Linked DNA regions of Saccharomyces cerevisiae S288C. The gene in region 2 interacts genetically with the main gene of each other region. Each region holds a gene or a part of one and is shown on either strand. Other genes may lie near its edges.

Region 1 (8,882 bases), on a different chromosome or scaffold from region 2:
CCACACCGTAAGTGACACATACCAGCCCATTAGACTTAACCACTTGCACCAACCGTGGGGCCTTTAAAATGGGTGCTGCAGCAGATACAATCCCCAATAAATTCCACTTCTTAGCAAATCTTATACCGTTTTGTAACGATGAGGCTCTCAAATCGGCCATCTGTTCACTTCCACCTTCCGTCAGGAACAAGATCGGAATAACCGGTTGCTTTAACGAAAGCATGATGCAAATATCCGGATGAAATGACGAAAAAATGATGTCCCTACCATTCGCATTGTCAAAAACTACTTTTAACACGGTGTCAACCCAATGGTTCATTTCCATCATTATTTGCCCTAACTCTTCCTCTTCTGCCTCATCAAGCATGGGAAACTTACATTCTATGTTAAACCCAACGTTGGCAGGGATTTTCTTGAATAGTTCTTTCAAGGTAACAAATGATGAAGCTATTGAATGTCCTCTAGCGTTTCCCTTAAAATTGTTCTTTTTAAATGTTTTGGTTAGCCTCATTCGATTGTCAGACCAATGAGCATTGTTGGACTTCCCATTCGGGTCGTTGTCGTGTAAATCCCAAGCTCTCCTCAATGTACTAACGTCTGAATCATCTACCGAACGCCCTCTATATTTTTGTAGTGCTGTATCTGCTCCATTTACATGATGAGGTGAGTGACCTGCTCCACGTTGAATGTGCTCTTTATCGGCATTGTTCAAATCTAAAAACTGTTCCAGCGTCAATTCATGCATGGGGATATCGACACCTGTTTCAGCTACGAGAAAATCGTGATATACCACTGGTACGTTATCCTTCGTCAACTGAACATCAAACTCTACATACGATGCTCCCAATGAGGCTGCCATGATGAAAGACTCGACTGTGTTCTCTCCAATTTGTAATGATTTATTAGGATTATTTTTACCCAGGCCTCTATGTCCTATAACACGAGTGGACACTAAGGATTTCCAGTACGTTTCTGTTCTTTCTAAGGGCAGTTGTGGATGTTCAAATGGTGTGATAATAATATATTCAAATTTCAGCGTCCCAAGTATCTCCAGTGTATGATTAGCGATGATGGGGACCGTCACGCTACCATTTAATATACTTCTATTAACTCCCACTGAGCTGTACGACTTATTCAACATGGAAACACCCCTTGCCATTACGTAATTATTGTTATTTTTTTGACAATCTATTCTATTATGGGTCTCCAACGAGCGTGTTCCATATGTTGGCACAATATCAAAATATAATGTATGAGAATAATCAACTTTGAAAGGCACTTTGAAGTCTACTGCGTCCACATTATCATCTAATGGTAAATCTAAGATTACAGAAGATTTATCAATTGAATCATTGCATGAAATTACTAACGATAATGCACAATCTGTTTCCAACCCAATAACTTTTGCTAGTGCTTCCGAGCTTAATGAAATTGAAGGGCTTTTGTTTCTTGTGTCATTACTTCCCAATGTTATTAGTATAAGTGATTCATTATTATCCAGGAATCTGTGTCCATATGACTTTATTGGTCCGGCCAGTTTTCCCAAGGACCCTTTATTACCTCCGTTTCCATTTTCATTTCTCTCATTTAATTCTCCGGCACTAATTTCGTTTAGTGGTTCTTTCTCTTCGCTACCACTGTTCAACTGTGAATGGGGATGCGTGACCAGTTCGTCTCTGATTTGAACCATATCAGCAATGTGCAAATGACCGCGCAATACCGCGTGCTCCATCGGCGTCCACCCACCTTCATCTTCAATATCAAAGTTCGCGTTGTTGGCTATCAAGAGCTTTACAATGTCCGTAAACCCTTCTGCTGCTGCAACGAAGATAGCTGTCCAGCCAAAAAGTTTTTCTCTTATTTCAAGGTCGGCTCCATTGTACAACAAACACACAGCAGCTTCGAAAAAATTTAATCTACAAGCAAGATATAGCGGTGTTTCATGTAATTCGTTGTCTTGATAATTAATATCAAACCTTTTTGATGATAGGAGAACATGTAAAAGGGGATAGTTATTCCACTCAGTGGCCAAATGTAACAAACTTGAACTTTTTAATTTCACGTTCGGATCCAAAGATTGCAATAAGACTTCTGTTGTTTTGGGATGAGCACCCAACACACATAAATGTAAAGGTGTCAATGATTCGGCATCTCCGAACGCGGAAACGTCATCAATAGGGATTTCATTCCAGATATTCCATTCTTTCATTAACTTGATAATCAACTTCGTAACTTCAGATAAGCCATACTGGCAAGAATAATGCAAGGGCGTTCTCTTGTAATTATCATGCTGAAAAAGGCATGGTCTTAAATGAATTGGTAACTCCTCTAAAATATAAGAGAGTGTACAGGCCGAACTTTTTTCCTCCTCTGTAATGCTATCTGATTCTGCCGGGGCAGATAGGGTCGTATGCAGGGTTCTTAAATCTGTTACAATTTCTCCCTCACTATTAGTATATTTTGAGGGTTGTGACTTCTTTTTCCTACTTAAAATTTCCTGTTTTCTGATTAACTTCCCGATTGCAATTATGTGATGATGGAAAAAATTTCTTCTGTTAATATCTTCCGAGTCATTTAGAGACGGAATAACCTTTAAGATAGCATCAATACATGCCAGTGATTTAGACAGTGCTGCCTTGTTTAAAACACTTATCATAATTCTTGTTGGAATCAAAGACAATTCCGAATATAGGTTTGTTAGCTCTCTAATCAATCCTTTGCTATCATCTTCTTCTATAAAAACGCAAATAATCTTAAAGAATTCTGTATTATCATTAGCATTTGCGTTCGGCGAGGTACTCCTCATTACTCTCTCGTAAGAATTTATCCTGAACGTCACTTGTTCCCAGATAGTTTTTAGCAAACTCAAATCTTTGGTAATAAGAGAATCATTAGCAAATTGTAACGGCAAGATTCTAGTTTTCATAGTTGACATTTGCTGATTTGTGCCGACTTTTTTATCCAGTTTCTTTAAAATCTTACCAAAAGCTCTCTTATTTAGTTCAGCGTACCACTTTAAGTTTCTAAATTGTTTTCTTAACTCAGCTAAGATAGACTGAATTTCAATTAAGTCATCTTTATGGTAAGATAGACGGCTGGCTTGACTTGTTCCCTTTAAAAGCATATTCATCTCTCTCGTATCCTTTGTGAGTAAGGTTTGCGCTACTGCATCTTCTTTGTTGGCATCGACCACTAATGTTGATTTTATCTCATTGAATTGATTAGAAGAAAGCAATCTCTCAAATCTTTTCTTATATTCCGCATACTGGGAATTGTAAAATGTATCAACCTTCTCAATATCCCTGTCAACTGCAAAGAAAAACGACGCCAATAACTTTTGGATTTTTGGAGAGTCCAAATAATTTTGAGCACTATTAGATGAATCTCTCATTTTTGTTGGTGGCCTGCCTTCATCATAGCTATTCTTGTTATGTGCCCTATATATGTCTTCTTGAAGTCTTGTAATTTCTTTAATCATTTTCTTCAACGACTTGTAGCCAACATATTGACTTGACCACTCTGGAATGCGATGATTGGCAAAGGTTTTTCCGAACTTCATTGATTATATTGTTTGATTATATAAAGACCTTACAGTTTCAGTAGTTTGTCACCTTAGTTGGAGATAGTGGCTATTTTTGTGTAATTTGATGAGGGTTCCCTTCTTAGTTGGGTTTAAATTTTTTGCTACCGTTGCCTTATTGTTCAATGAAGCACTAATTGCAAAACTTAAACTCTTTAATAGTCTCACTTTGTAAGACAATAATTTATTTTTTACTTCTGTCAGCCAACGCTCTCTTTTTAATATAATGTGCACGTTCTAAAAATAATTCTCTTATTCAGTTGGCGCTATTAAGTGAATTAGAAACGTTTTGACGAAATTTACTATTAAAAGAACACTACGAGTCGATAATGACAGCACTGGTCTAAATTTCAGCTAGAGCAACAGCAAATTATTATTTGTCACTTAAATAAACTTGGTCGTTTTTTTGGAGAGCTAATATGTTGGGACAGCGTGTGTAACATTGCTCCACCTGCGAACACGTGGAAGTCGCAATTATAAAAGATGCATAAAAAGAAAGAATATTAATAATTAGGACACAATTGATCAGTCCTGACAAGATCGTATATTTGCTTCATCGAGAGATGCATTAATTGACGCACTTCTAAACCAACCCATATCTTGAGCATTGATAATGTGCTTGCATCTTTCAAGAGACTTTTGGCTTCCCGCTTAAACCCGAATTCACGTAATATAGGCAGCGAACTGTTTACGAAGAGAAGTTACAAGATGTGGGTATTTTTGTTAGTAAAAGAATTTCTTTAGTAGCAATAAAAAGCAAAAAAAAGCAATAGAAAAGGGTTTTAAAAAATTGATGTTATTCTTTAAAACCGTTAATCCATGCGTAAAATACGAACCTTTCAAATAAGTCCAAGTTTGGATCTAACTGGCGTCCAATACCCTCTAGAAGTAAAATAGCGACCACCACGGAAACAAAGTCGGACTCCATTCTAACATGGTGCGACCTTACCATACTAAGCATTTGATCGAGTAAATCGCCAATTGAGACGGTTCCCAATGTAAATGTTCTTTGTTTAACTTTATCCACTAGCTTTTCTACCTTAAACGCAAATACTTCCTTATCAATAGCTGTTTCTGGAGTTCTTGATCTCTCAATCATCAACTCACCAGCTCTATAACCATCAAATCGGGCCAATGCGTTGAATAGAGCTATGAAATTAATTCTGTTTTTTTCATTCAATTCTGTAATTATTCCTGTATCGATAAAACAAATTTGGGGAGTGTAATTAGTTAATACAGACTTCAGTTTTCCAACAAAGTCCTGATCTTGGTCCTCCTCTATCTTCTTCCTCAGGTCGTGCGTTATTCTGTACGATTCAAGTTCGGAGGATATAATGTTTGTGCCGTATTTGTTCGTCTTCACAAATCTGATTATAACATTGCCTGGATGCAAATCAGCATGAACAAAATCATCAAGAATTAGCATTTGTAGAAACGCGTCAACGAAGGGATCACTGACTTTTTTACAAAGTTCAACGTCGTTAATTTGCTTCTTCGTAGATAAAAACTTTTCCATGGAAAGACCATATACATGCTCTTCGAACATAACATCCCTATTTGACAAGGGGAGAAATGGTTTAGGAAATTTCACCTGAATAGAATTTTTAAAGTTCTCATTGAATCTTTCCAGGTTTAACGCCTCAATTCTTAGATCCAACTGAATATTCATTAATATGGAAAACTGATCGACTTCGCTGGGTAAAGACAGCCATTCCATAGTCGGAATCCAATTTATTGCGTCAGCACAGAATTTCATTATTTTCAAATCTCTCCGGATCTGAGATCTTACATTTGGATGCAAGATCTTGATGGCACACCAACGATTTCCATCCTTACCAATTTGTATATTGTCATATTTATCGATGTACTTTTGGGATAGTTCACCCACGTAAACTTGTGCGATGGACCCAACTCCAATTGGTGTTCGATTAAATTCATCAAAAGCATCTTCGATCTTGTCAACCTTTAATGCTTGAGAAAGTTTTTCCAGAGTAAAGCTTAGAGAGTGAGCTGTAACGTTACTATGCAATTTACCCAACTCATGACACAGTGCGTGAGAGAATATATCGGTTCTCGATCCTGCCCATTGTCCGAGTTTAATGAAACTCGGGCCAGCCAATTCCAATGCTTTACGCAGTAGTTGACACCAAATCAATGAACCTCGAGTTTCAGTTATATTGGTGTCCGTAATTTTGAGTTTATGACCAAACCATGATATGGGGTATAATAGGAGAAGAGGTAAAAAAATAGCTGAAATTTCTAAAAACCTTAAAATCGTGCATACAGGCTCAACAATATTATCATTAAAACCGAACCAAAAGATTCTTAGATATCTTATTAATTTATTTCGTGATTCAGTGATCTTAGCAGACCTGAAAGATTTAAGCTTTTCCTGCAATTCGTTTTCTGAGGAAACGTAGAGGCCCATTTCAAAAGTATCACCTTTGGGATCCGGTTTTAGAGAATCATTGTATATCAAACAATTTTGTTTTGGAAACGAATTTTGTGTCAAATAAAAAGCAATTGACGTAGGTATTATGAACTGTCTTATAGGTATTTTATGAAAATGCCGTGTGGACTTGCTATAGTATCGCCAAGAGTTTCTATAAGCGAACTTTAAAAATGACATTGCCCAGATGGTTCTGATGTTCTTTATCTCTATTCTGTGAGGGTTTGATATTGATGAGTAGGTAGAAGATATGGTATAAGGTATTTTCTATAACATCAAACATCTTTTCTTTTTCATCAAATGAGTGAAAAGGTATTATTGCCCCTCATATATTCGGGGTTATTTATTTTTCGTTGCTTGAAGTAAAGCCTTTAATACACACTTAGTATTTAAACACTTAAGATTTACGAATCACAGATTCTAAATTTGTATTTAATAAATTGATTCTAAGTACAGGAAGTATCAAGGGGGGGGGTTGACAGATAGAATCACACCTTGATTAATTTAGTTCCTGATGAACAAGCCAACTTGACCAATCAAACCCTTTCGCGGCACTTTTTCTCTTAGCTCTGCTTGATACATCGACTGGGAACTTCTTCTCTTTGAGCCAACTAACCTCAATCCCTTAAAGATTTTGTAAACCGCAGAAACACCTGGTTGTTTTCGCTTGTTGGCAAAGGTTAATAACACAGTAACTTTCAATCTTGTTCCGAAGTGCAGAGTGCAGTTCCCTGTGTGTTCAAGTGACATACGGCATTTGAATACACTACACTTATCGTCATGTCAAAACAAGTGTTATAGAAGCAGCGTTAATATAATATTAGTACCTGTACAGTTTTAAACTCAATTGAGTGCAAAGATCTGATGCATCCCATTTTAGTTTCTCATAAATTATTGCTTTGGTTCATAGTTCAATTGTAAGCATTATTAAAACAACTGCTTCTATTTAGACAATACAAGAACGCGATCTTTCCAGTAACTGCCTAATCTGAAATTATGTTTTTCAGTTGCGCCTGTGGCCTACACAACTTGCATAATAAGCAGTTAAAAATAACTCCTAATCTTACTAATCTTGTCGAACTAGACTAGCTGTAATGATCTGTCATATATAAGTTAATATTCAACATCGACTGTAATTGTCAATTCAATCTTGACAGCAACGATTGAAGTCATCGCCTCGCCGTAATTGAAAAAAAAATGTAAGATGAATAACAGCTAAGAAAGATAATAATTTTTATGAAAGAAGCATCTGATAGAGAAGAAGCACCAAAAATGGTGGAAAAAAACTATAGTACAGGTTTTAGGAAAGCCCACGGAGAGAAGGATCAATCAGTGACTAAGCCAATCTCGTTAGATGGTAGAACAGGTGAAGTAATTGTTAGAAAATCCACCGGGAAAACTAAAATACGTAAAGGTCAAACGGAAGAAGAGTATACACAGCAATTGCAGCACTACTTCGAAGTAGAACAAGGCCCTGTGCGGACAAAGGTAGGATGGATGGATGAGGTAGATCCCTTGGTTGAGATCCGGGAAGGCAAGTACGATATCTCCAATAAGCATCAGCGACAGGTGCTTAGTGGTTTCTGCCATCGTTTATTTTACCAATGTAAGTACAAGGAGTGTCTGGATCTCAGCACCTATTTTCTGGGGCTCTTTGAACCGTTCAACGTGAAGAATAAAATGAAGAGGGAGCTTGAAGAGTTGGAATATATGATCGAGCGATGTCGTGGGCATGTATTATAAGCCCGAATCAGATACTCAAATTTGAAAAAAGATATCTTTCTCCTCCGACATGGCCGAACTCATTTACATAAATAGCATAAATTAAACAGAATAATAATACGTAAATTACAACAGTCAGAGGGTGCATGAAACCGTCATTAGATAGAGACGTGATCAAAAGTAGAAAATGATAAGAAATCAGGGATGGTCATTACTTTACAGAATTTATCCGGTGCGGAGGTTCACAAGATACTCCAGAGTAGATATGACTTTTGAAGGAAACACTCAAGATATCTCTACTTCTGTCGAAGAAAGAATGACCACTGTTTTTGGAGGACGCTTAAAGGGTGAACCACCAAGATCCACAAGTAGAGTGCTTAGCGGCGGAACGAAGAAAATAGCAGGTGTCCAAGTGCCTGCAAAACCACAAGAACCCGATAACTGTTGCATGTCAGGTTGCGTTAACTGTGTCTGGGAGATATATAGCGAGGATTTAAGAGACTGGAAACATAGAAGGAAAGAGGCTGCGGAAAAGATCGCAGGAACTAAGGAGAAGTGGCCTAAAGACTGGAATCCACCTTTGGGATTGTTACATATGGAAAATGTCCCTGTTGAGTTACGTGAAAAGAAGCTGGAAACCGATAGCAAAAAAGCAGAACAACCTCATGATTTATCTGCTATCAGAAGTTTGTTCCCTAAAAGAAAAGGGCCTCTGCCCAAGAGTGTATTGGCAGCCAAGAGGAAAAATATTGCTTTGAGACACAATTACGAACAGAAAGATGGAGGAGACCAATCAGTCAGTGAATCAGATGCTGATGAAGGCTGGGAAGATATTCCTGTCTACGTTAAAGCCTTTGCAGAGTTTGAATCAAAGAAAAGATTACAAAAAATTCGCCGACAGGAAGAAATAAAAAAGAGGACAGCTTTGGTTTGAAGCAAATATATATTATTGAAAAGCCTATGTACAATATTTGCGGTCTTCTTTGATCTTGGTAGACTTTATGGATGGAGAATAATAAACATACATATATTTCACTTAGAGGGTTTAGGAGACTAATGCGTGAATACGCGCTGGCATGTCCCCATTCATGCATACATATATTCGTAAACATACACATATTCATAAAAATT
Region 2 (7,841 bases):
ATTACCTCCGCCAAACGCGTCGCCAATTTCACACTTAAGGGCCCAGACTAAGATTGTCTTCAAACAAAATGTAGCTGAAGCGTGTGGGTTAGATATGAATAAAAGAATACTACAATACATGCCGGAACCACCAAAATGCTCTTCCTTGAGACAAAAAAGCTATATCATGAAGAAAAGAACACATTATAGTTATCAGCAGGAACAAAAAATTCCTGATTTAATTAAATTAAGGAAAATCAATACCAATCCGGAAAGAATTCTTGATGCACCTGGTTTCCAAGACGACTTTTATTTAAACTTGTTAAGTTGGTCCAAAAAAAATGTCTTAGCTATAGCACTAGACACTGCATTATATCTGTGGAATGCCACCACTGGGGATGTTTCCCTGTTAACGGATTTCGAAAACACCACAATATGCAGCGTTACGTGGTCTGATGATGATTGTCATATCTCTATCGGTAAAGAGGATGGGAACACCGAAATTTGGGACGTTGAGACCATGTCATTAATTAGAACTATGAGATCAGGCTTAGGTGTCCGTATCGGTTCATTGTCTTGGTTAGATACTTTGATAGCTACAGGCAGTCGTAGTGGAGAAATTCAAATCAATGATGTCAGGATCAAACAGCATATTGTATCTACATGGGCAGAGCACACAGGCGAAGTCTGCGGTTTGAGCTATAAAAGTGACGGATTGCAACTTGCATCTGGTGGTAATGATAACACTGTAATGATTTGGGATACCAGAACGTCCTTGCCTCAATTTTCCAAGAAGACGCATACTGCTGCTGTAAAAGCACTAAGCTGGTGTCCATATTCGCCAAATATTCTAGCCTCTGGAGGCGGACAAACAGATAAACACATCCATTTTTGGAACAGTATCACAGGTGCACGAGTTGGCTCAATCAATACCGGATCCCAGGTGAGCTCTTTACATTGGGGCCAAAGTCATACGTCAACCAATGGTGGTATGATGAATAAAGAGATTGTTGCCACAGGAGGTAATCCAGAGAATGCAATCTCTGTTTATAATTATGAAACAAAATTCAAAGTTGCAGAAGTAGTTCATGCTCATGAAGCAAGAATATGCTGTTCTCAATTGTCCCCTGACGGAACCACATTGGCCACAGTGGGAGGAGATGAAAACTTAAAATTTTATAAGATATTTGATCCAAGATGTACAGGAAGATCGAGAGAAGACGGATTGATGGATGGTATGCTAGGACTTATTGGCAAGGAAGGTTGTCGAACAAATGATAAGGAGAATCGTTCCAAAAATTCGAGTGAGATTCATACAAGGAGGCCCTCTAGTACCAGCCAATATTTGATCAGGTGATAAAATAAAAAAAATAAAAGTTCATGTCAAGGCATATAATGAAATTTCCATACACGCATACATAATGTATAAACATAAATGTATTCAAGAAGCTTAAGAAATAAAAGTAATGAACCTTGAGAATACATCAAGATATAACTCATCACATGTTAAAGAACCCACACACCACACGCGCGAGAACTGGGAGGGAGAGAAATTTAGCAAATAACAAAATTTAGGCCTTGGAAGAAACCATAGCAATGCAATAATCGTTATTAACATAATATCTACATTGAGAACTTCTTGGGCTAGTGGTTTTGCTGCAAACTGGAAAATTGTATCAATCTTTTAACGTTAGCTAAACATCTTCTGCTGTGTTAGCATTAGGAGGAAGCGAAAAGGAAAATACATAATGAAACCGACACAGGATTCACAAGAAAAGGTTTCTATTGAACAGCAGTTAGCTGTAGAATCGATAAGGAAGTTTTTGAACTCGAAAACATCTTATGACGTGTTGCCTGTTTCTTACCGTTTAATTGTCTTGGACACCTCGTTGTTAGTGAAGAAATCACTGAATGTTCTTTTGCAAAATAGCATTGTCTCTGCGCCATTATGGGACTCCAAGACTTCCAGGTTCGCTGGACTTCTAACTACTACAGATTTTATTAATGTCATCCAGTATTACTTCTCCAATCCAGATAAGTTCGAATTAGTAGACAAATTACAGTTAGATGGATTAAAAGATATAGAGCGTGCTCTCGGTGTTGATCAACTAGATACAGCTTCAATTCATCCTTCTAGACCCTTATTTGAGGCGTGTCTTAAGATGTTAGAATCAAGAAGTGGTAGAATACCACTGATCGATCAAGATGAAGAGACACATAGAGAAATTGTCGTTAGTGTTCTTACGCAATATAGAATTCTGAAGTTCGTTGCTTTAAATTGCAGGGAAACACATTTTCTAAAGATTCCAATTGGGGACTTGAACATTATTACGCAAGATAACATGAAAAGCTGTCAAATGACCACTCCGGTCATAGACGTCATTCAGATGCTTACCCAAGGTCGGGTTTCTTCCGTCCCTATTATTGACGAAAACGGCTACTTAATCAACGTATATGAAGCATACGATGTCCTAGGCTTGATAAAAGGAGGCATCTACAACGACCTGTCATTGAGCGTCGGAGAAGCCCTTATGAGGAGAAGTGATGATTTTGAGGGTGTTTATACATGCACTAAGAATGATAAATTATCTACTATTATGGATAACATCAGAAAAGCAAGGGTGCATAGATTCTTTGTAGTTGATGACGTCGGACGGTTGGTTGGTGTCTTGACGTTAAGCGATATTCTCAAATATATCCTTCTAGGTAGCAACTGAAACGAGCCGATGAGATTTTTGTGTACATACTATAAATAAATGCAACTAATAAAGTCATGATTAATCAGTCATGCATACTTCATCTGACCAATATATTTTCATCTTGCTTATTTTGGGTATAATTCGGCGGAAATTCGGTTATAAAGCGAAGTGAAAAATCGATTAGTAATGATACTGATGCGATCTCTGGGAGGGGGGAATGCTGCATATAAGGGTGAAGGAAGATAATGCAAAGCCTTTTGTAGTATTGTCTGTTGATACCAAAATAAATTAGTTCATCAAAAAGGTACAGGCAGCTAAAGAAAAGCTGTAAATTTAACGCCGTAGAAGGTATTTTTCGTGAGATCTATCTCAAGGCATCATTTTTTTTATTTTCGCACCAAGATAGGAAGAAAAAGAGTCACAGTATAGAGGACTAACCGTTAAAGATTCTAAATCGGTACTGTAAATACTTTGAAATGCCTCAATCTACTCCAAGTCAAGAAGTACAGCGTGTACCATGGGATAATAAACCTGCTTTGAAGCAGATAACACTCCGAGCAACCATAGCAGGTATCGCTATAGGGTCTCTGGTGCTAACATCAAATTTTCAATTTGGCCTGCAAACCGGTTGGGTTTCCATGATGTCCCTGCCATCGGCATTGTTAGCTTGTGCTTTCTTTAAAAATATCTGGCCATTAATATTTCCGAACGACAGGCCTTTCAGTGACGTTGAAAATGTATACGTACAAAGTATGGCAGTAGCTGTCGGAACAGGCCCATTAGCCTTTGGGTTTGTCGGCGTCATACCTGCCATCGAGAAGTTCCTTACTAACGACGAAAGTGGTGGATTAAGGGAACAAGGACAGTCCTTCACTTTTAGAGAATTGTTAATATGGTCCACAGCCCTAGCATTCTTCGGTATTTTTTTTGCAGTTCCTCTAAGAAAGCAAGTAATTGTTAGAGAGAAACTTCCCTTCCCCAGTGGTAGCGCCACGGCCACTTTAATTTCAGTGCTAAATGGAACTGAGATTTTACAAGAGGTTTCTAAGTCAGAGTTATTGGAAATGAGGCAGAGGAGATTGAATGAATGCCCTGAAGTGCTACAACCCAACAGAGATCCAGAGGAGGCGGATTATTTAATGAACTCTTCTCATAGCGAACTTGGTGATTATACGGCAACTAGCCAAGATGGAAGTTCTATCCTTTCTACTGGCTCTGAGAACTACAGAGCGAATATTATTATTTTATTGAAAACTTTTGTTGTTTCTTCGCTTTACACCATGGTGTCATATTTTGTACCGGTAATACGGTCTATTCCAGTCTTCGGAAAATACCTCTCGAACAATTATCTCTGGAATTTTCAGCCGTCGCCTGCGTATATAGGCCAAGGGATAATAATGGGTCTTCCAACAGTATCGTATATGCTTATCGGGTGCTTCTTAGGCTGGGGTGTGTTAGCACCATTGGCGAGATACAAAAGATGGGTACCACCAGATGCTGATGTCCACGACTGGGAGGAGGGAGTGCAAGGATGGATTCTTTGGTCGTCGCTTTCAATAATGGTTGCTGACAGTGTAGTCGCTTTTATTGTTGTGACAGTGAAGTCCATTGTGAAATTTATTCTTATAGATGACAAAGCTGCTTTACTGAACAACATAATCGATGATACATTTCAATCTATGTTACTGGAGGAGGAACGCGCCATTAATAGCAGCAGAAGAAATACATATGTTGATGGAAGGCAGGACACCGTAAGATTAGTGAGTAGAGATAACGAAATAGAAGTAGATTCGAAGCATTTGGTTCGCTATACCACCGTTATCAGTGGATGTCTAGTCTCCTCGATAATATGCATTGTTTCCATAATATATTTGTTTGGGATACAAGTAATTCCCCTATATGCTATTATCACTGCTTTGATACTTGCGTTGTTTCTATCTATTCTCGGTATTCGAGCACTTGGAGAGACCGATCTGAATCCTGTGAGCGGCATTGGTAAGATCTCTCAATTGATTTTTGCCTTTATCATACCAAGGGATAGACCTGGATCAGTGTTAATGAACGTGGTATCGGGAGGTATTGCAGAAGCCTCTGCCCAACAGGCGGGCGATTTAATGCAGGATTTGAAAACGGGGCACCTCCTCGGCGCCTCCCCAAGAGCTCAGTTCTGTGCCCAATTGATAGGGGCCTGTTGGTCAATTATTTTGTCTAGCTTCATGTATTTGTGCTACAATAAAGTTTATTCAATTCCGAGTGAGCAATTCAGGATACCGACAGCAGTAGTGTGGATAGATTGTGCAAGACTAGTAACTGGTAAAGGGCTCCCTGATAAGGCCTTGGAGTGCTCCATGATTCTCGGAGTCATATTTGCCGTTTTATCATTAATCAGAAACACTTATAGAGATTACGGATACGGGTGGATATTATATATTCCGTCTGGTGTAGCAGTCGGTGTTGGTATATTTAATTCTCCCAGTTTTACAATTGCAAGATTCATCGGCGGGTGGGCTTCGCATTTTTGGTTGAAGAATCATAGGGGTGACTTAAATGCGAAAACAAAAATGATTGTATTCAGTTCGGGGTTGGTCTTAGGTGAAGGTATCTTTAGCGTAATAAACATGCTCTTCATCTGCTTAAATGTCCCTCACTATTAGGTATATAATATTTTACTAATAAAGAATTTACAAAGTTTACAAATTTTAAATTATTTACTCATCACATAATTCGATGTCTTAGATTTCCCTGTATATATATTTCTAGGTGACAAAAATCCTAGGCAAAATGTTATATTATACGCGACCTTGAAATATCGGCTATCTTGGTGTACAACATGGTCCATTTAAGAAAAATAAAAAAAAGTGATGGGCACTGTTAAAACAGGCAGAAGCCTCATTCATAACTGCTGAAGGGTTAAGATCGTATAGGTAGGAACGATCTGACCTCTCATAATGGAAACATGGGAAGTCATAGCATCGGTAAAAGAAGCAACAAAAGGCCTTGACTTGAGCTTAGATCATCCACTTATTATTAAATCCGAGGACGTGCCCAGTAACATTCTCCAATTACTGCAACAGAAGAATCGACGTCAATTGAAACACATCTGCATGAAATCAAGAAAAGAGTATTTTCTACTAGAGGAATATGGGCCAGGATTTTGGGTTAAGTGGCCGTACAATTATTTCAATGGTTACAGCTTACCAGAAAGGCGTACGGAAGTTGTAACGACAGTTGAAAGAGAAAGAGCTAAGCGTGAAACGTTAAAAACATGGGACGAATTGAAATTTAAAGAGCTTCTTCATTTATGGTCAGAAGAACCCAAGGGCTCGTGTAAGCTTGAGAAGGACAAAGACCTTAAACTGGATATGAATCCCCCAGATATGAAAGGCGAATCAAAAATTAATGACTACTATTCAGACCCTAAAGAGTACATAGAAAGTAAGTATTATGATGCTCTTTTTTCCATACATACGCCTCTCGCATATTTCGTCAAGTCAAATTTAGTAAGGCTCAAAAATACCTGCCGAACCAAGTACGGAAGTGACAGTTACAAAATAGCCTATCAAGCCATGCTGCAAAAATTTCTTCTCTCAATTGTACAATTCAAAGATAGACATGATAACAGGCTTTTATTAGAGCCCTTTTCTAGTCCCATAGCAGATGAAAAAAGGAAGAACTGTCTCACAAAATTTGTTATCCAAGATGAAAACAAAAACAGCTCAACCATTGCTGATTTATGTGTTGTATTAAAATCCCGCGAAATAAAGCTACAAATATTATTGCTATTAGAGATAATAGGATTGAACGATTTAGATTGGAATTTTAGAGATTTTGAGAAAAAGTATAAATTAAAATTGAAGAAAAGATCACTTAATTTGACAAAAAAGGGATTAGTTCGTCGAAGATCGAAGAAAAAAACCAGCGAAAAAGACAAAGGAATCGAGAGAATAACAACATCTTTGGATTATTGTGAACAGTTAGACTTGTACTTAGATAGAGCATGCATCTTGGACATTCTACTATCAAGTGAAACGCCCAACCCAGATGCCATAGAAGCATCAAATGGAACAATACAAGAGCATAAAAAAAATATCCTAGACAAAAGCAAAGAAGCCTCATTGGTTGGGTTCATAAATTATGTTCTTATTCCATATTTCAACAAAAAGGTACCACACGCCGTTGAATTTATAATTCAAAAGCTCAAGGGACCAAGCATGAGACCAAAGAGAGCCCTGAAAAAGGTCAACGATAGCACAAATGTATCGTCACCTAATACTGTAGAAACGTATAACAGGTTATCCACGAGTCAACGTGCCTCTCGCTCTTCAATCATTAATTCCGTCCCATCTTCACCCGCATTGAGAAGGGTGGACGCTAATTTGTTCAGCAGAAAATCTATAGCTTCGCCCACCCCTGAACTTTTGAATTCTAGAACGAACTCTAACTTGAATGAATTTCTCGAAAGTGAAACTAGAAGCTTAAAGCGCCCTTCACAATTGGGAAGGACGAAGTCTGATCTAACGATGAATCATTTACAAAAACGGCAGTTTTCTGTCTCTGACTTAAGCACAACAAGAGTACCGAATTCATCAACTATCACACTCAAAACGCCTTTCTCGCACTCAACTATTAATGCATACAAAACTATGAATAACTCTTTTCGCAGAGTTGGGAAACGTAAAGATATCAATGAAACGATACGCCTACATGAACGTGTAGACTCTGAGGAAAACGTACAAGTTCAAGCCACTCCTGCTGTGAAAAAAAGAACTGTGACACCTAATAAAAAGGCGCAACTTCAAAGCATCATTGAATCGCCGCTAAATTTCAAGGATGATGATACGCATGAAGGCAGAAAAAATACCTCCAATATTACCTCTACTCCCACTAATAAGCCCCCGGAAAATAGCTCAAAAAGGAGAGTAAGAAGACGTTTATTTGCTCCAGAATCCACATAGAATAAGAAACTGCGAGACCACCTTCGCTGGCAAGTAGTTGACCCAACTCCATCTTTGTAGCTTTTCTTGGACGAAAAGGGAATAAAATAAAACTAAGCTACAACAATTTCGCACTTCGGGGGCCTTTGAGTATACAATTAAATAACTCATCATGCATATATATATATATACATACAATGGCGTATGTAAAAACTGTTATATAACATTA
Region 3 (7,809 bases), on a different chromosome or scaffold from region 2:
TGTCGCCTGCCACCGCTATTGCCATTATCATTTGCTTTCGCATCGTCACCGATTTAAAGCTCTCTAGGCTAACGTACGCATTTTACCTCCCAGGCCCTATCTCTTTTCTACCTGTCATCCCTATATAACGTCTTGTACATTCTAGTGGCTCCGTTAACAAGGTTTGACAAATATTACAATCAAAGAAGGATAGCGCTAGTCAATCTAATCATTAAGTTCGCTTATAAAGAGAAGGAAAGCTAGATTTTTTTTCTACTTCAATTACATATCGGTGCTTCTCTCTGGTGGTTTTCTGTTTTTCTAATATTGATCGATTTTACGGTGAGTTAAACTACTTCCTTTTATCGCAATATCATATTTAGAGCGAGAAAGCAAGAAGAATAAAGCTAGGAGAAAAAAGCGCCACGATACATTCATACTAAGTTTATAATATACCGGTCGTCTTTTGGCTTTCTGATACCATATTATATCCTCGAAACACTTTCTCTGGATTCACCTACTATTAATCACCTCAAGATTTCACTTGTAAGGCGTTTTCAAATTTATTGTTATTAAAAGACATATTCATATTCAGTATTTTTATTTTTCTTCGAAACAGGAAAAGCTTATCTGAGTATGGATTTTACAACAATGACTATGGCAAGCAATATGGCTACTAGTACTACTACGACGGCTACATCGGCACATGCATCTATAAATTCGTCATCAAACTTTAATATTGATATTGATTCGAACCAGAATACTCCTTCCATTTTGATAAATAACAATTCGGATTCTTCTAATGGAAAAAACACAGATTTTAACGGCGTCAATAATATTCACCAAAAAAATATCATGAATAATACAAATAATGTTCATTTGTACTCTCCAAATATAATGGACCAAACGCTACTAACTCCACAGGACATTGCCAAGTTACGGAGAGAATCAATAGCCCATTCTCAAGGGATGGGTGGTGTTTCATGGGGATCCATTAGTGTTGGTTCTTGGTTAAGAGATGAAATTATTAGCCGTAGAAATAGTATTGTACCTGCATCAGCAAACGGTGCTGCCTCCGCTGCCGCTTCTGCAACCACTACTGCCACTAATACTTTGCAGATTCAACAACCAACTAAGAGACCCTCTGTTAGTAATCCGCCTTACCATAGAGGGTATTCTATTTCTCCTCAGATAGCCTACACTGCTTATCTGCCAAATCTAGAAAAGCAATATTGTAAAGATTATTCATGCTGTGGTCTTTCCTTACCAGGTTTGCATGATTTGCTGAGACATTACGAAGAAGCTCATATATCCACGTCTCCTAACACTACCAATATGTCACAAATACCGATGAACTCTGCTGGTAACACTAGTTCATCAGTTCGTATGACAAATAATACCTCTTCTGCCAACTATAACCTGCAGAATAACATGGCCGCTAATACAAAAAATGCAGGTCATAAGACTAATACTATGCAGGCTCATAGCAGCAATGCAACTAATAACACCTCCATTAATAATATGCATGCCAATCTTCAGAGCAACATGGATTCCAACTCCACAATACGACAATCTCAGCATCCTCACCATCAGCAGAATATAATACAACAACAGTTGCAATCGAATTCTGTAAATCATACATCAGGGGCTGTACCCACACCGAGTGTAATGGGTTCAGCAACTGCGTCGTCCACAACTGCAAATCCAAATGTGATATCTATAACGGGTGCCCCCAACTCGGGCTTATCTATGGCTAATCACTCTCAACAACTACATCTGAATGGTAATCTAGTCGATGCCGTTTCAACGAATGATGTGTTTTTAAGAACGAGCAATTCTCCATCAAGACACGTTCCGCACAATAAACAAATTAACAGTAACAATAATAGTGGTATCAATATCAATAATAATACCTCACACAATTCTAATATTAACATGGGTAGTAAAAACGCCATGGTGAATCGTCCACATACTTTTAATAACTATTCCTTGAACAAAACGTCCAGGAATCCTATTCAACATCAATCAAGAAAAATTGATCCTCATCAAACCGATTTATCACCTCTGGTACTTGTCCAAGATATAGATTTAAGTTTTATGGATGATGATATTTTGGGCCCTAGTAACCACAATTCCATGAACTCTGTCGTAAATCCAACTACAGGTTCTCACAACTACAATACTTTTCATTCTTCCGTACACGCAAAATCTTCTCAAAACATGGTCGAGGATCAAGACATTGATGACATTGATGATGACGATGATGTTGATGATGACGATGACGATGACGATGACGATGACACAGAAAATGGCTCCAGTTCCAATGGAAAATCAGTTCATAACAACAATTACAAGATGCCTCAGCAAGCTTATATAGACGATCCTGCGAGAAGGCTCTATGTAATGGATCATGAGGAACAAAAACCCTTTAAGTGTCCAGTTATTGGTTGTGAAAAGACTTATAAAAACCAAAACGGTTTGAAGTACCATAGGTTGCACGGACATCAGAATCAAAAATTACATGAAAACCCTGACGGTACATTTAGCGTAATAGATCCAGATTCGACAGATTCTTTTGGTGATGGAATGGGCTCTGCAAAGGATAAACCATACCGTTGTGAAGTTTGTGGTAAGAGATATAAGAACTTGAACGGTTTAAAATATCACAGGGGCCACTCCACTCACTAAGATATAATTGTTTCTTTACTGAATTGATTTAGTATGCTATTTAGATACTAATTCTACCGTTACCGACTCATGCATCGAGCGGCCGCTCTTTCTCTTGTTGTTGGGCGCAATTTATGTGATCATCTTTGAACGAAAATGCATGATAAAGCTGTGCTCTTCGACTGTTACCATTAATTTCAAAAAATAAAAAGCATATCTATTATTGAAAAATGAACTTATAATAGAATAACATTTTCTTGTTTTGTCATCATTTCCTCTAAATACTCCGTCATGAAAACGATTTGCGCTCTGTCTGGTCTCTCCTTTTAGTATTATTGTTGTGTGTTTTTTACTATTCATTTTTTACTACTGTGTTTTTACTATATATATTTTGGCTTTACTTACTTCCTTCTGTTCTGATGTATTAAAAACTATTTTTATTCTAAGAAAAGAAACTTTAATTCTTCTTATTCATGCTCTAAATCTTAAATAAAAGGTTCCGTTTTTTATCTGCAATTCTGTGTATTTGTAAGTGAATTACCATGCACGTTGTCGGATCGTTTTTCTAGGCAGAAACTATCTTATTGAACCATTAAAAGATTACTTAAATATTACAATTAATCTTACGAAGCATATTAATTAGACTGGAATTACAGCGCAACTATCACAGGTTAATAATTGGTTGAGAAAATATTATAGTTTTGTTAGTAATGTTGAACTTTTATTTTATACACTTATGAAAGTAAATTAATTCAATATCAATAATAATATACTATAAGTAACTTAAAAAGCAACCTTCCTCCCAAACCTACAATCCAATCACGCTGATAAGTATTATCTAGAAAGTTGACAACACCAAGCCATATGGTCAAGAAACATTTATTGAGAGTTATTTTGTAAATAAGACTTTTCGTCATCCATATAAAGCAACCTAATTGTTCATCTAATACTAGAGTCGCTCTTTTGAAAGTTAAGTATAACTACCTCATCATTAGTTGCTACTATGTGTATAATTTGAAAATCTCAACGTAAGGTTATTAAAAATATAAATGCGCGTAAGACAGAAAAATAGAGACAGCTTACGGCAAATTATCAAAATGTGAATCCAAGGTTTCAAGAAAATAAGATAAAGTGAATAGGAAGGATGAAAATCAATGTATCCCGTCCATTACAGTTTTTACAATGGAGTTCATATATTGTTGTTGCATTTCTGATACAATTGCTAATCATTCTTCCTTTATCGATCTTAATATATCACGATTTTTACCTAAGACTATTACCTGCCGATTCCTCTAACGTAGTCCCCCTTAATACGTTCAACATTTTAAATGGCGTACAATTTGGTACAAAATTCTTCCAATCTATTAAAAGCATTCCGGTAGGTACAGATCTGCCGCAAACAATAGACAATGGCTTATCACAGTTAATCCCCATGCGTGACAACATGGAATACAAGCTCGATCTAAACCTACAGCTTTATTGCCAGAGCAAAACTGACCATTTAAATTTAGACAATTTGTTAATTGATGTTTACAGAGGTCCAGGCCCGCTATTGGGTGCTCCTGGAGGAAGTAACAGCAAAGATGAAAAAATCTTTCACACTTCTAGACCTATTGTCTGCCTCGCACTGACGGATTCCATGTCGCCTCAGGAGATCGAACAACTAGGCCCATCACGTCTAGACGTTTACGATGAAGAATGGCTAAATACAATAAGAATAGAGGACAAAATATCGTTAGAGTCTTCATATGAAACAATCTCGGTGTTCTTGAAAACGGAGATTGCCCAAAGAAATCTAATAATACATCCAGAAAGTGGGATTAAGTTTAGGATGAATTTTGAGCAGGGATTAAGAAACTTGATGCTTCGAAAAAGATTTTTATCTTATATTATTGGCATTTCAATTTTCCATTGCATAATATGTGTACTTTTTTTTATCACAGGTTGCACTGCATTCATTTTTGTTAGAAAGGGTCAGGAAAAATCCAAGAAACATAGCTGATAGAATTGTACTTCTCGCTATATAATTTTAAAACCTAGCTGTTATTTTCTAAGTAAGTAGGCTCTTCCAGCATTCTGCTTCTTCGCCCTGAATAAAAAAAAGATGATCAGCGAAAAAACTCAAAATGAAAATAAGAGATGGATTCTTCAAAGTTATAATTCATATGCAGAATAAAGATTCTAAAGAAAATGCACACAATGCATATTCCATCCGGTGATGTTCTGATACCGAAGCCGAAGCTTATTACTGAAGAAACAGATCCACTGCATATAATAAAGACGAGGCAAAAGACACATGGTCGGCCCGTGACCATTGCAGGCCCAATGGTTCGGTATTCCAAGTTACCATTCCGTCAGTTGTGCCGAGAATATAACGTTGATATAGTTTACTCCCCCATGATTTTGGCAAGAGAATATGTCCGTAATGAGCATGCAAGAATCTCAGACCTTTCTACAAATAATGAGGACACCCCGCTAATCGTCCAAGTAGGTGTAAATAACGTGGCTGATTTACTAAAATTTGTGGAAATGGTTGCCCCATACTGTGATGGTATTGGTATTAACTGTGGTTGTCCTATAAAGGAACAAATCCGAGAGGGCATAGGTTGCGCTCTGATATACAATTCAGATTTGTTATGCAGTATGGTCCATGCTGTGAAAGATAAGTATGGCGACAAACTAAGAATTGAAACGAAAATAAGAATACATGAGGCATTGGACGAGACGGTGGAGTTATGTAGAAAGCTATGTGATGCTGGGGTAGATTGGATTACGATTCATGGCCGAACACGTAGAACTAGGTCATCGCAGCCGGCTAACCTGGATGCGATAAAATATATCATCGAGAACATCAGCGACAAAAATGTGCCTGTAATAGCGAATGGGGATTGTTTTAAGTTATCCGATTTGGAAAGAATCACCAAATACACTGGTGCACATGGTGTCATGGCTGTGCGTGGGTTGTTAAGCAATCCAGCGTTATTTGCTGGATATACTACCTGCCCTTGGGGCTGCATTGAGAAGTTTTGTTATTGGGCTCTAGAGTTTGGTGGCTTGCCTTTTCAATTGGCTCAGCACCATCTGTACTGTATGCTTGAAAATATGGAGTTGAAGAAATCTCTGTTAAAGAAAATGATGAATCTTAAAAATTACATTAGTCTGATCGACTGGTTTAATAAAACCTTTGAGTTCAAGCGTTACGGCGAGGATGGATTTGGCATGGGCGTTGAAATTCCTTATAAAGCTAATAGCTGTGTGCAGAGGAGCGCCTCAGTGGTTGAGAGACAAGAATGAATAAATTTTGAATTACAAAAATCTAATAAACTGTGGTACTGAAATTGTATATATTTTCCTATCATTCAAGAGCGTATACTCGTACCCCGAAAGCAGCTCTGTTTGTGTAATAATATAACCTAAAAGAAATAAAATGCTTATAAGATGGACATTATTTTTTTTTTTTTACAATTTAAGCATCTTCTTCAACGACAACGGTTTGTAGACCCTTAGCAGAGGCAACCAAAACTGGTTCGACGTAGGAAAACAATGGGTTCTTGGCATCTTCTTCTTCGTTTCTCTTTCTGGAGATTCTCAATCTCAATCTGTATTCAACACCCTTAACACCTCTTTTCCAGATAGCTTGGTTCAATTCTGGGGCTAGACGGACATCTTCAGTACCCATGTGTAATTTGGCGAATTTCTTGATTTCCTTCACAGCTCTTGGAGCTCTCTTTTTGAAACTGACACCATGTAGCTATATTAATATCAATTCAAGATTGGTCTGTTAGTAAAAAAAAAGTTGTTATAAGAAGGTGGAACTAAAGCATCACGCCAAAAACATCGGCCCAAGCGCCATTATAGTGTAAACGTGAGGTACGGATATCGATCGCAGAACACAGAGAAATGCAGTACCGAAGAAGAACCTTCCAGTCCTTGCATCACGCATTCCATATAATAACCTCTAATATTCCGAATTAAAACCTGGGGTCAATCATTGGAAAATGAAATTTCACCCGTATAGATTTCGCTTGGTATTTCACCACAATATCGCTTGTTGGCTTTCAATAATTTCCCACGTAAAGACAACGCTAATTTCGACATACTCTTTTGTGCAAGTTGATGGTGTATTCACGAGTGACAACGTCTTTTAAACCGGCCATTTTCAAGTACTTTGGATTATCTGCTCGTGCAATTGAAATATACTAAGACCCAAGACTATGTAAAACTAAGGAACCTATCAACAATGAGACTGGTCAAATAATAGAGTAAACATGTACATGAAGCACTACCATCAGAAAGAGCTTACAAGGTTACGAAACAACGTCAGTGCCCTCTGTCGCATTACCCTCGGTTTCGCGCCCTTCCAGTTGGCATTTGAAGTGCCAATCCAATTGTGAGCACATCCAACTAGCGTGCCCTTGCAATCCCAGAGGACACCATACAACTTCCAGCCTAGTAGTGAACTTACCAGGCGAGGAGCGCGGGCGCCAGAGGGCAGCTCATCTGCGTTCCGGCTCTAACGAGAAGGGCGGAAATGGCACCATCACCTGAAAAAGAACGTAATCTAGGCTGAGCCGCGCCTTTAAGTTTTTGTCGCATCTGGCTGCGCTTCATTTAAACGGCACTCCTAAAAAATTGTATGAGGTGATTTTTTTTGTGTACAGATGTACGGATGTACGGATGTACGGATGTATACTATGTAATAATGCACGGATGTAGAGAAACAGAAACGAGGATAATAAAATCGGTTTTTGTATCATCTGGCGGCGATATGGCGCAAGGCTTTAAGTAAACGTCCTATATGGTACTAACGGGGTTTTATTCCGAATCAAAAGAAAAAGAGATACGAAGTCTCTCTTAGTAAAAAAGTCTTTATGGAAGATTATCGATAATTCGATAATTCTACCGACAACAGTGGTTTTGTTTGGCTCAGCAAACGTGCAGCACCATGATCTTGGTAGATTTCTTCTTTACCCTCACCTTCCCCACACCATGTTTGCTTGCTACCCGTGTGTAATGCTATCAGCGCGCGTTTCTTTTTTTTTCTTGCTAACATTTTTCAACTTTAAAATGAAACGATGCATGAGTGATAGAGGCATTGAACTTTAGTAAACAATAGAAATAACCATCGGAGTTATTATTTTTTTCTGCTTATTCTTTGGTCGC
Region 4 (7,726 bases), on a different chromosome or scaffold from region 2:
AGACGCATTCTCGCGCTGTTTCAGACTTTGTCCCTGGTTTTGCTAAACCGAGTTATGATTCAAATTATACCATGAATGAGCCTGTCAAGACAAACGATAGCAGAGGTGGCAATAAAGGTGACTTTCCAGCATTGCCTGCGGATGCAGAAAATATGGTAGAGAAGCAAAGGGAGAAGCAAATTGAAGAAGATATAATGAAATTGCATGATATTAATAAACAGAATAATGAAGTTGCAAAAGGAAGCGGGCGGGAAGCTTACGCTGCACAGAAGTTTGAAGGAAGCGACGACGACGAGAATCATCCCTTACCACCTCTCAATGTTGCAAAAGGTCGAAAACTACATCCAAGCGCAAGAGCTAAATCAGTTGGTCATGCTCGTCGTGAATCACTCAAATATATGAGACCCCCAATGCCTTCATCTGCCTATCCTCAGCAAGAGCTTATAGATACTGGGTTCTTAGAATCAAGTGACGATAACAAATCCGATAGTTTGGGAAATGTTACTTCACAGACGAATGATAGCGTCAGCGTGCATTCTGTGAACGCACACATAAACTCGCCATCTGTGGAGAAGGAATTAACAGATGAAGAGATATTGCAGGAAGCTTCTAGAGCTCCAGCCGGTTCTATGCCATCCATCGATTTCCCCCGTTCTTTATTTTTGAAGGGTTTCTTTTCTGTTCAGACAACTTCATCGAAGCCTTTGCCAATTGTTAGATACAAGATTATGTTTGTTCTGAGGAAAATGAATATAGAGTTCAAGGAGGTTAAGGGTGGTTTTGTTTGTATGCAAAGGTTCTCTTCCAATAATGTGGCAGCGAAGAGAGAAGGGACTCCAAGATCGATCATGCCACTTTCGCACCACGAATCCATTAGACGTCAAGGCTCTAATAAATACTCACCTTCTTCTCCTTTGACAACTAATTCCATTCACCAGAGAAAAACATCTATTACCGAAACCTATGGAGATGATAAGCATTCGGGAACATCTTTGGAGAACATCCACCAACAAGGTGACGGTAGCGAAGGCATGACTACAACAGAAAAAGAGCCCATCAAATTCGAAATTCATATCGTCAAGGTTCGTATTGTTGGTTTAGCCGGTGTGCATTTTAAGAAAATTTCTGGGAACACTTGGTTGTATAAAGAGCTGGCTTCTAGTATATTAAAAGAACTAAAGTTGTAAGTAACACGTTCCCTGAGAAACCACAGCTTACATTTTTGATATTCGAAAACAAGAATATCCGTTCGATAGAAATTTATATATATATATAGATTCTTTTTATTCTCTTTTGGAAAGAAGAAATAGAATGGACCTAAGCAGACACTCAGCAGTTAATATTTTCGTCCCTTAATTGGTATTATTTATAAATAAATGGCACGTACTTTATGTGTAAAGCAGTTCATCATCGATTGATGGAGAGAATTTGTATACGTAGAGCGATCATTGCACCGTTTACCAGGACAGGATTCATATGGATGTAATAGGACTATTACTTCACTGAATCAATACAACTCGTAACGGTCATATAACTGCGAGTTTGTACGCAGTTATTCTGTTTGTGAAGACAGATTATACTTCGCCGTTGAAAGATTTCTTTACTTCACCATCATTGCCTCCGGATTCTCTTAACTTCTAAATAAAATGAAGATACTGGTAATTCTTGTCCGCAAAAATCTACGCTACACTCTGGAAAGAAACGAGATTTTCTACCGTCTGGTTTATAATGAATATATTTACATGACCAGCTTTGCAATCATATGATATTTTCGCCCATGTATACGAAATTAACTAAAAATACATCCAACGGGAGGCCATTTTCATCACTAATAGCTTGTATGAGCTCAGGAATCATCCAGTATGTGCTGTAGTGCTTCATTTGCGCTTCTAATGGACTTGATATCGTTCATTACACAAGTTAAAAGAATATGCTTGGGAATTCTTTTCCCGTTTTCCTTCGGTGGGGTCCTTACTGATTTAATGAGCCTTTCAAAGGCTTCTTTGGTGTTTATTCTTCGTATCTTCTCCATTTGAACGTGTTTCCATTTCCGTACCTTCACAGGGTCGTCCTCGATATTGGCTGGAATATCAGAGTCTGGGATTCGTATCTCAGGTACTGAAAACGGTGGCGGGTTGTAGTGGTCATTGCCGATAGGCTGATGAGGTCCTTCCCTCGTGGTGAACTCAGTTGGCACATCTGCTGTGTTTGTGGGTAACTCCCCTGTGTTACTGTGTGGATGTGTTTCAGGATATCTTTGATTTAATTCGGTATACCTATGCTGCTTTTTTGGTGATCTTATATGTAGATGTGATTCGGAGTTCATGGAAGCGTTGGAAGACATCATATCCTGTGATATTAGATTGTCTAAAAACTGTTCAATGGCATTCGATTCATTCGTGCTCAACAACCCCGAACTGGAAGGAGACAACTTGAGACCAAGCGCTTGATCAAAACCCATGCTTGGTTGATGAGGGTTGTGATTTAGATAGTGTGCATGAGTATGCAAAGGAGCATGATGAGTTTGGTTATCGGCAGGTATAGTTTCTACGTGAGAGGGTTGCACGGTTGCTACGTTAGGAATTATGCCGAGCTCGTGTGTTAACAGAGGAGGGGAAGTTGCACTAAACGTGTTTTCATGTATGTGCGCAGACATTTGGTCGTCGAAGTTACTGCTGAGCATTTGGTAAGCAGTTTCAAAGTCTATATCGTTATCCAGATCTAGGATACCCAGTAATTCGTTCCCAGTTGCTTGTTGCATTTTCTCCTTTGCTGTTCCATGTATTTATTTATTGCACGTCAACGAGATGGAACCGAACCAATTTCGAATTGCTTATGACGCCAAATACTGATTACAATAAGATATGATGAGATGAGCCTTTAATCACTGAAAAAAATTCACATGTGTGTTGTACTTGGACAGGTGTCAACGCCCTGCCGATGACGGAGGGAGATAGAAAACCGGCGAATTTTTTACCTCCTGCTGAAAAAAGGTTAGGTTGGTTCCATCTGCCGCACTATGGAGGGTGATTCAACGGAAAAGGCGCAGGAAGTGCAGTAGTGACCGGCAAGCAGCATGTTGAAAGACATTGTTGGGAAATCCTGTTTGAGTCCTGGTGTGTCTTCATTCTCCTACCATTTGTAGCTGGCGTAGATTTGGTTTGAGTGTGGTTGGTTAATTCATATTAAGCGTTGAGATTATAATAATAGAAATAATGGAAGAGGCACTCGATCCATATTATCAAGGATTCAAAGTAACTCAGATCTGCAGTAAAGGAGAGATGCGACTGAGAACAAATTCCTTTGCAATGGCATCGGCAATGGCACAATATGGAACTTTTTCTTGTACTGTTGAAAAACAGCACGCTGCAGTTGCATCAGGGTTGTTTTAAGTTGTTGTAGTAATCTCGCGACCTGAGACATCCTTGAAGCGGTGCCTGCGAAGTCTTAGTGAAGAGTTTAAGATTAGAAGTATATAGCATCGAAGGGATGGCCCAACTGAAGCAGGTTCCTCTGCTTGTTTCTCAGCTTATATAAAGGATGGATTGCGTATGTATACATGTGCATTTGTGCGTACGTCATTTTTCGATAGAGTCAGCTTAAGTACATGCGTATAGGTATGGAAGAGCTTAGAAGGGCGCTGGCGCTGCTAAATGGTCAAGGATATGAGTTTATGGTGTTCATAAAGGAAAAAGACCATTTAATAAGTGAGTCAATTCCAAAAAACTTGTTCTCAGAGAGTTTTATATCATCTTCAATTGAAAAAAACCCTCCACTCACGTTCGATCCATTGGTAAATAGGAAAAGAATAACTGTTTATGAAGAAAATATCCAACCAGCGATCATGCTACCCTTAGATCAACCCCTACTAATACAGAATTATCTGTATACGGCTTTTAAATTATTAAGACAGGTCCCATGCAAGGCGATTGCTAAGTTGTGGATAAAAATTATTGAGCCAAGGAAGAAAACCAGGTTTCCATACATTAAAGGCAATGCTGGAAGGCCGGAATGGTGGCCAAAAGATGTAGAACATAAAGAGCCGGACCACCTCCAGAAAGCGGATCGACTGAAATTGATGTGCACGATAATTATGAATGTTCTACCGCAATCTCCCTTCAGCCTTGAGATTTTGGACGAGCTTACAGGAGTGACCGCCGCAATGACCATTTTTAAGAAAGAAACTGTGAAGAAAGTAATCATGAAAAATGTTTTCGAAATTGCGAAATGCTTGTGCAACAAAGATTTCAAGCAGAAGACCATATCACTTGATGATTTAAATGACCTAGCCCAAAAACAGAAAAAATCATACCATAGTCGTCGATTTGATGTAAATAAAATGGTTAAGGTAGAAAAAGATTTGTTACAACAGTCAAGTGGAAGCGATTCTTCACCCTCGATGATCCTTCCTTCAAAAGAAAGTGACACAGAGTATTTCCCCAGGGAATATCCGAAAGACCCTGTATCGGAGGATTATTCGAATAGCATATCTCGATTAGAAAATTTAGTGGAATTTGATCCGTTATTCCTCACTAAATTGGATGAATTAACTAGTAGCGATGATTGTAAAGATTTTATTTGAGAAAAATTTCAAAGCAAAGAAAAGAGGTGTGAGGAGCGCAAAAGCAAAAAGGGGGATAGCATACATTAACACATTTTTTGGCTCTTTGCTACTTGATTTGGTTGCTATCAAGGCGATTTAGTTTCGTCTGATAAGAAGGACACTATAGATTGGTTGAATGATTCTGGGTTATCTAAAAAAAGATTGTGACCGGAAGAAGGTATTTCTAAATAACTTGCTCCTTCTAGACAGTTCTTTAAATTGTTCAACTCTTTGACCATGAACATACCGGCTTTTTTATTCATCCAATCATATTGCCCATATACTATCAATAATTTCTTAACATTTAAATATTGCAGAGAATCCATCAAGGGGTCCTTTGCTAGGATACATCTTGAAAATAACGCTTTGAAAATATCTGTCGTAACCTCCGGTATACCTCCCTTACCGTAAAACAGTTCAAATATGTACTCTTTGTATGCCAACGATGGGACTCGGCTATATGCCGCCATTATGTAATTCCAACATAACTTAGCTCCTAATGGTCCCATCATTCTCAAAATGTGAAATTGTTGTTCAAATAAGTATTTTGGAATCATATTTCTTTTGGAGTAAAACTTGGAATTTGGATTTTTAAAATCGATAGTATAAAGAGTGTTGGAGTGGAAATTATTATTTACAGACCAGATATTCCTTTCCACTCCTAGTGGGGATACCAAGCAAAGTTTGTTTACCGAGTTTGGATATTTAACAGCATATTTAAAAGATAAATATCCGCCAAAAGAATGCCCCACAACATTCATTTTGCCCAATTTGTTATCAATGCGCCATTGCTCGATTCTGTCGAGATAGAAATCTTCGTACATTTGAATCACAAATTTATTGTGATTTGCATTTATTGTATATGGAACCTTAAATTTATTTTCTCCAATAAATTTGATATCTAACGGCAGAGGTGTTGTTGTATTGATCTCTAAAGACGGTACTGAAGACAATCCGCTCGCTGGCATGTCAATTGAGTATAAATTTCGGATGTGCTTGGACAGACCTGGATAATTTCTGAAAAAAGACATTGAAGATGCGGCATAGCCATGTATCAGCAATGTTGGTGTTCGAACAGTACTTGTGTTTTCATTTTGGAAATGCCATTGATTTATTTCGTTGAATAACTTATCATTCTTTTTAATACCTTCAACGTGTACCTCTTCCATAATACGTCTCTGTAATTCCTCCAGCCGCATATAAGTTTTGTGTGGGTTATTCAAATGGCTTGACCATAGCTTGAATCCAGATTTTTTGACAGCATTTTCCTCCTTGGGTCTAAGAATCCTTTCCAAAATTTTTCTCTGGAGACTCTTTTCACGACGTTTAACTTCCAGTAGGCTTCTATTACTGTGGAACGCTCTCTTCCACATGTAACATTTATATACATTCATTATCTGCCTCCTTAAACTTTCAGGGTCCATCAAGTACCTCTTTATTAAAAGCATTTTTCATTCGCTCATCCTTAAACTGGAAAGGCATAAGGAAACTGTCAGAATATATAAATAGAGGTGTAAAACATGTGAAGCTCTGTGGAGTTCTAAGCTGGAATCGAAACAGTTGTCTCAATTTTAGTAATGTCCAAGGGCTTTCCAGGAGGTCAGTATATTCAAAGCCAAAATAATTAATGTTTTGGTCTGAATTTTTATTTTTCAAAAATGAGGTGAAAACCTCCAACGAAACTTTTTAATTAAAACCATCCGATACAGAATTTTAAATCATCTAAAGCATTTATTCGGCATTTTATCCTTGAATAACGTACTATGCAACTCATATAAATACTACAATATACTTTCTCTTTAGGAAATTCGTAGCTATCAACAAAGGTAGTGTCATTGTATATATACTTCCGCCTTCCTAAAAAAAACTTCATTATGCCTCCAAAGAAGATATCTTTGTCTCCTAACATGAAAAGAACAAACAATGTCATGGAATCTACTATTTGTGCTGCTAATAGGATTCGTAGTTTTGATATTACTTTCGCCCGTCTTCAAGTCAACATGGCCATTTTCGACTTTCTATCGTAATGTGTTTCAGCCCTTCCTAGTGGATGACCAAAAATATCGTTGGAAGTTGCATTTAGTACCTCTTTTCTACACCTCTATTTACCTGTACCTAGTATATACATACCACATGAGAGTGGAGTCTACGATTAAGAATGAGCTATTCCTTTTAGAACGAATACTGATCGTGCCTATAATTATACTACCGCCGGTAGCATTAGGAATTCTAGCCATGGTAAGCAGAGCTGAGGATTCAAAGGATCATAAATCAGGCTCGACAGAGGAATATCCATATGATTACCTATTGTATTATCCTGCCATAAAGTGTTCGACATGCCGGATCGTCAAGCCTGCTAGATCCAAACATTGTAGCATTTGCAACCGATGCGTTCTCGTCGCCGACCATCATTGCATCTGGATAAATAACTGCATCGGAAAGGGAAACTACCTTCAATTCTACCTTTTCCTAATTTCCAACATATTCTCGATGTGCTACGCCTTTCTAAGGCTGTGGTACATTTCTTTAAATAGCACAAGTACGCTCCCTAGAGCTGTTCTGACTCTTACCATATTATGTGGATGCTTCACTATCATCTGCGCTATTTTCACGTATCTTCAATTGGCCATTGTAAAGGAGGGAATGACTACAAATGAGCAAGATAAATGGTATACCATTCAAGAGTATATGAGAGAAGGAAAACTGGTGAGATCATTGGATGATGATTGCCCATCTTGGTTTTTCAAATGCACAGAACAAAAAGATGACGCTGCTGAACCACTCCAAGATCAACATGTTACGTTTTATAGCACGAATGCCTACGACCATAAGCACTACAACCTTACACACTACATCACGATTAAAGACGCGTCCGAAATTCCCAATATATATGACAAAGGTACCTTCCTGGCCAATCTCACAGATTTAATATAGTAAATTGTCATGCATATGACTCATCCCGAACATGAAATTTTTTTTCACTCGGTTTTTTCTCACCGCCATAGATTCTAACCGCAAATGTCGAACAAATTCATTATACAAGCGGTTTATTAATATAGAAGGTAGGACGCCGACTCGTAACCATTAGTAACAGATCACAGCTATACTCGGTCGTTCAAGTTT

Evidence for each region.
Region 1: mutations in SNF4 (region 2) and CQD1 together harm fitness more than expected from each alone (negative genetic interaction), as found in Saccharomyces cerevisiae (2 studies listed by BioGRID).
Region 3: mutations in SNF4 (region 2) and SEI1 together harm fitness more than expected from each alone (negative genetic interaction), as found in Saccharomyces cerevisiae (3 studies listed by BioGRID).
Region 4: mutations in SNF4 (region 2) and YDR124W together harm fitness more than expected from each alone (negative genetic interaction), as found in Saccharomyces cerevisiae (2 studies listed by BioGRID).

The regions. Positions count from the first base shown.
Region 1 is NC_001148.4:341,181-350,062, forward strand, and holds CQD1 (Cqd1p), read right to left. Parts: upstream 6,210-8,882; coding exon 4,417-6,209; intron 4,265-4,416; coding exon 4,084-4,264; downstream 1-4,083. Other genes in the region: GDE1 (glycerophosphocholine phosphodiesterase), read right to left, coding at 1-3,559; YPL108W (uncharacterized protein), read left to right, coding at 7,266-7,772; DPC25 (Dpc25p), read left to right, coding at 7,939-8,685.
Region 2 is NC_001139.9:290,306-298,146, forward strand, and holds SNF4 (AMP-activated serine/threonine-protein kinase regulatory subunit SNF4), read left to right. Parts: upstream 1-1,727; coding exon 1,728-2,696; downstream 2,697-7,841. Other genes in the region: ubiquitin-protein transferase activating protein CDC20, read left to right, coding at 1-1,336; YGL114W (uncharacterized protein), read left to right, coding at 3,155-5,332; SLD3 (Sld3p), read left to right, coding at 5,627-7,633. UniProt on the Saccharomyces cerevisiae protein: Adenine nucleotides-binding subunit gamma of AMP-activated protein kinase (AMPK), an energy sensor protein kinase that plays a key role in regulating cellular energy metabolism.
Region 3 is NC_001144.5:924,953-932,761, forward strand, and holds SEI1 (seipin), read left to right. Parts: upstream 1-3,790; coding exon 3,791-4,648; downstream 4,649-7,809. Other genes in the region: zinc-coordinating transcription factor SFP1, read left to right, coding at 616-2,667; DUS4 (tRNA dihydrouridine synthase), read left to right, coding at 4,837-5,940; 60S ribosomal protein eL31 RPL31B, read right to left, coding at 6,113-6,397, 6,747-6,803; YLR406C-A (uncharacterized protein), read right to left, coding at 7,254-7,403. UniProt on the Saccharomyces cerevisiae protein: Involved in lipid metabolism and lipid droplet (LD) morphology, number, and size. Facilitates initiation of LD formation, and ensures that vectorial budding of LDs from the ER is directed towards the cytoplasm.
Region 4 is NC_001136.10:696,708-704,433, forward strand, and holds YDR124W (uncharacterized protein), read left to right. Parts: upstream 1-3,607; coding exon 3,608-4,582; downstream 4,583-7,726. Other genes in the region: serine/threonine protein kinase KIN1, read left to right, coding at 1-1,187; INO2 (Ino2p), read right to left, coding at 1,847-2,761; ECM18 (alpha/beta hydrolase family protein), read right to left, coding at 4,690-6,051; palmitoyltransferase SWF1, read left to right, coding at 6,527-7,537.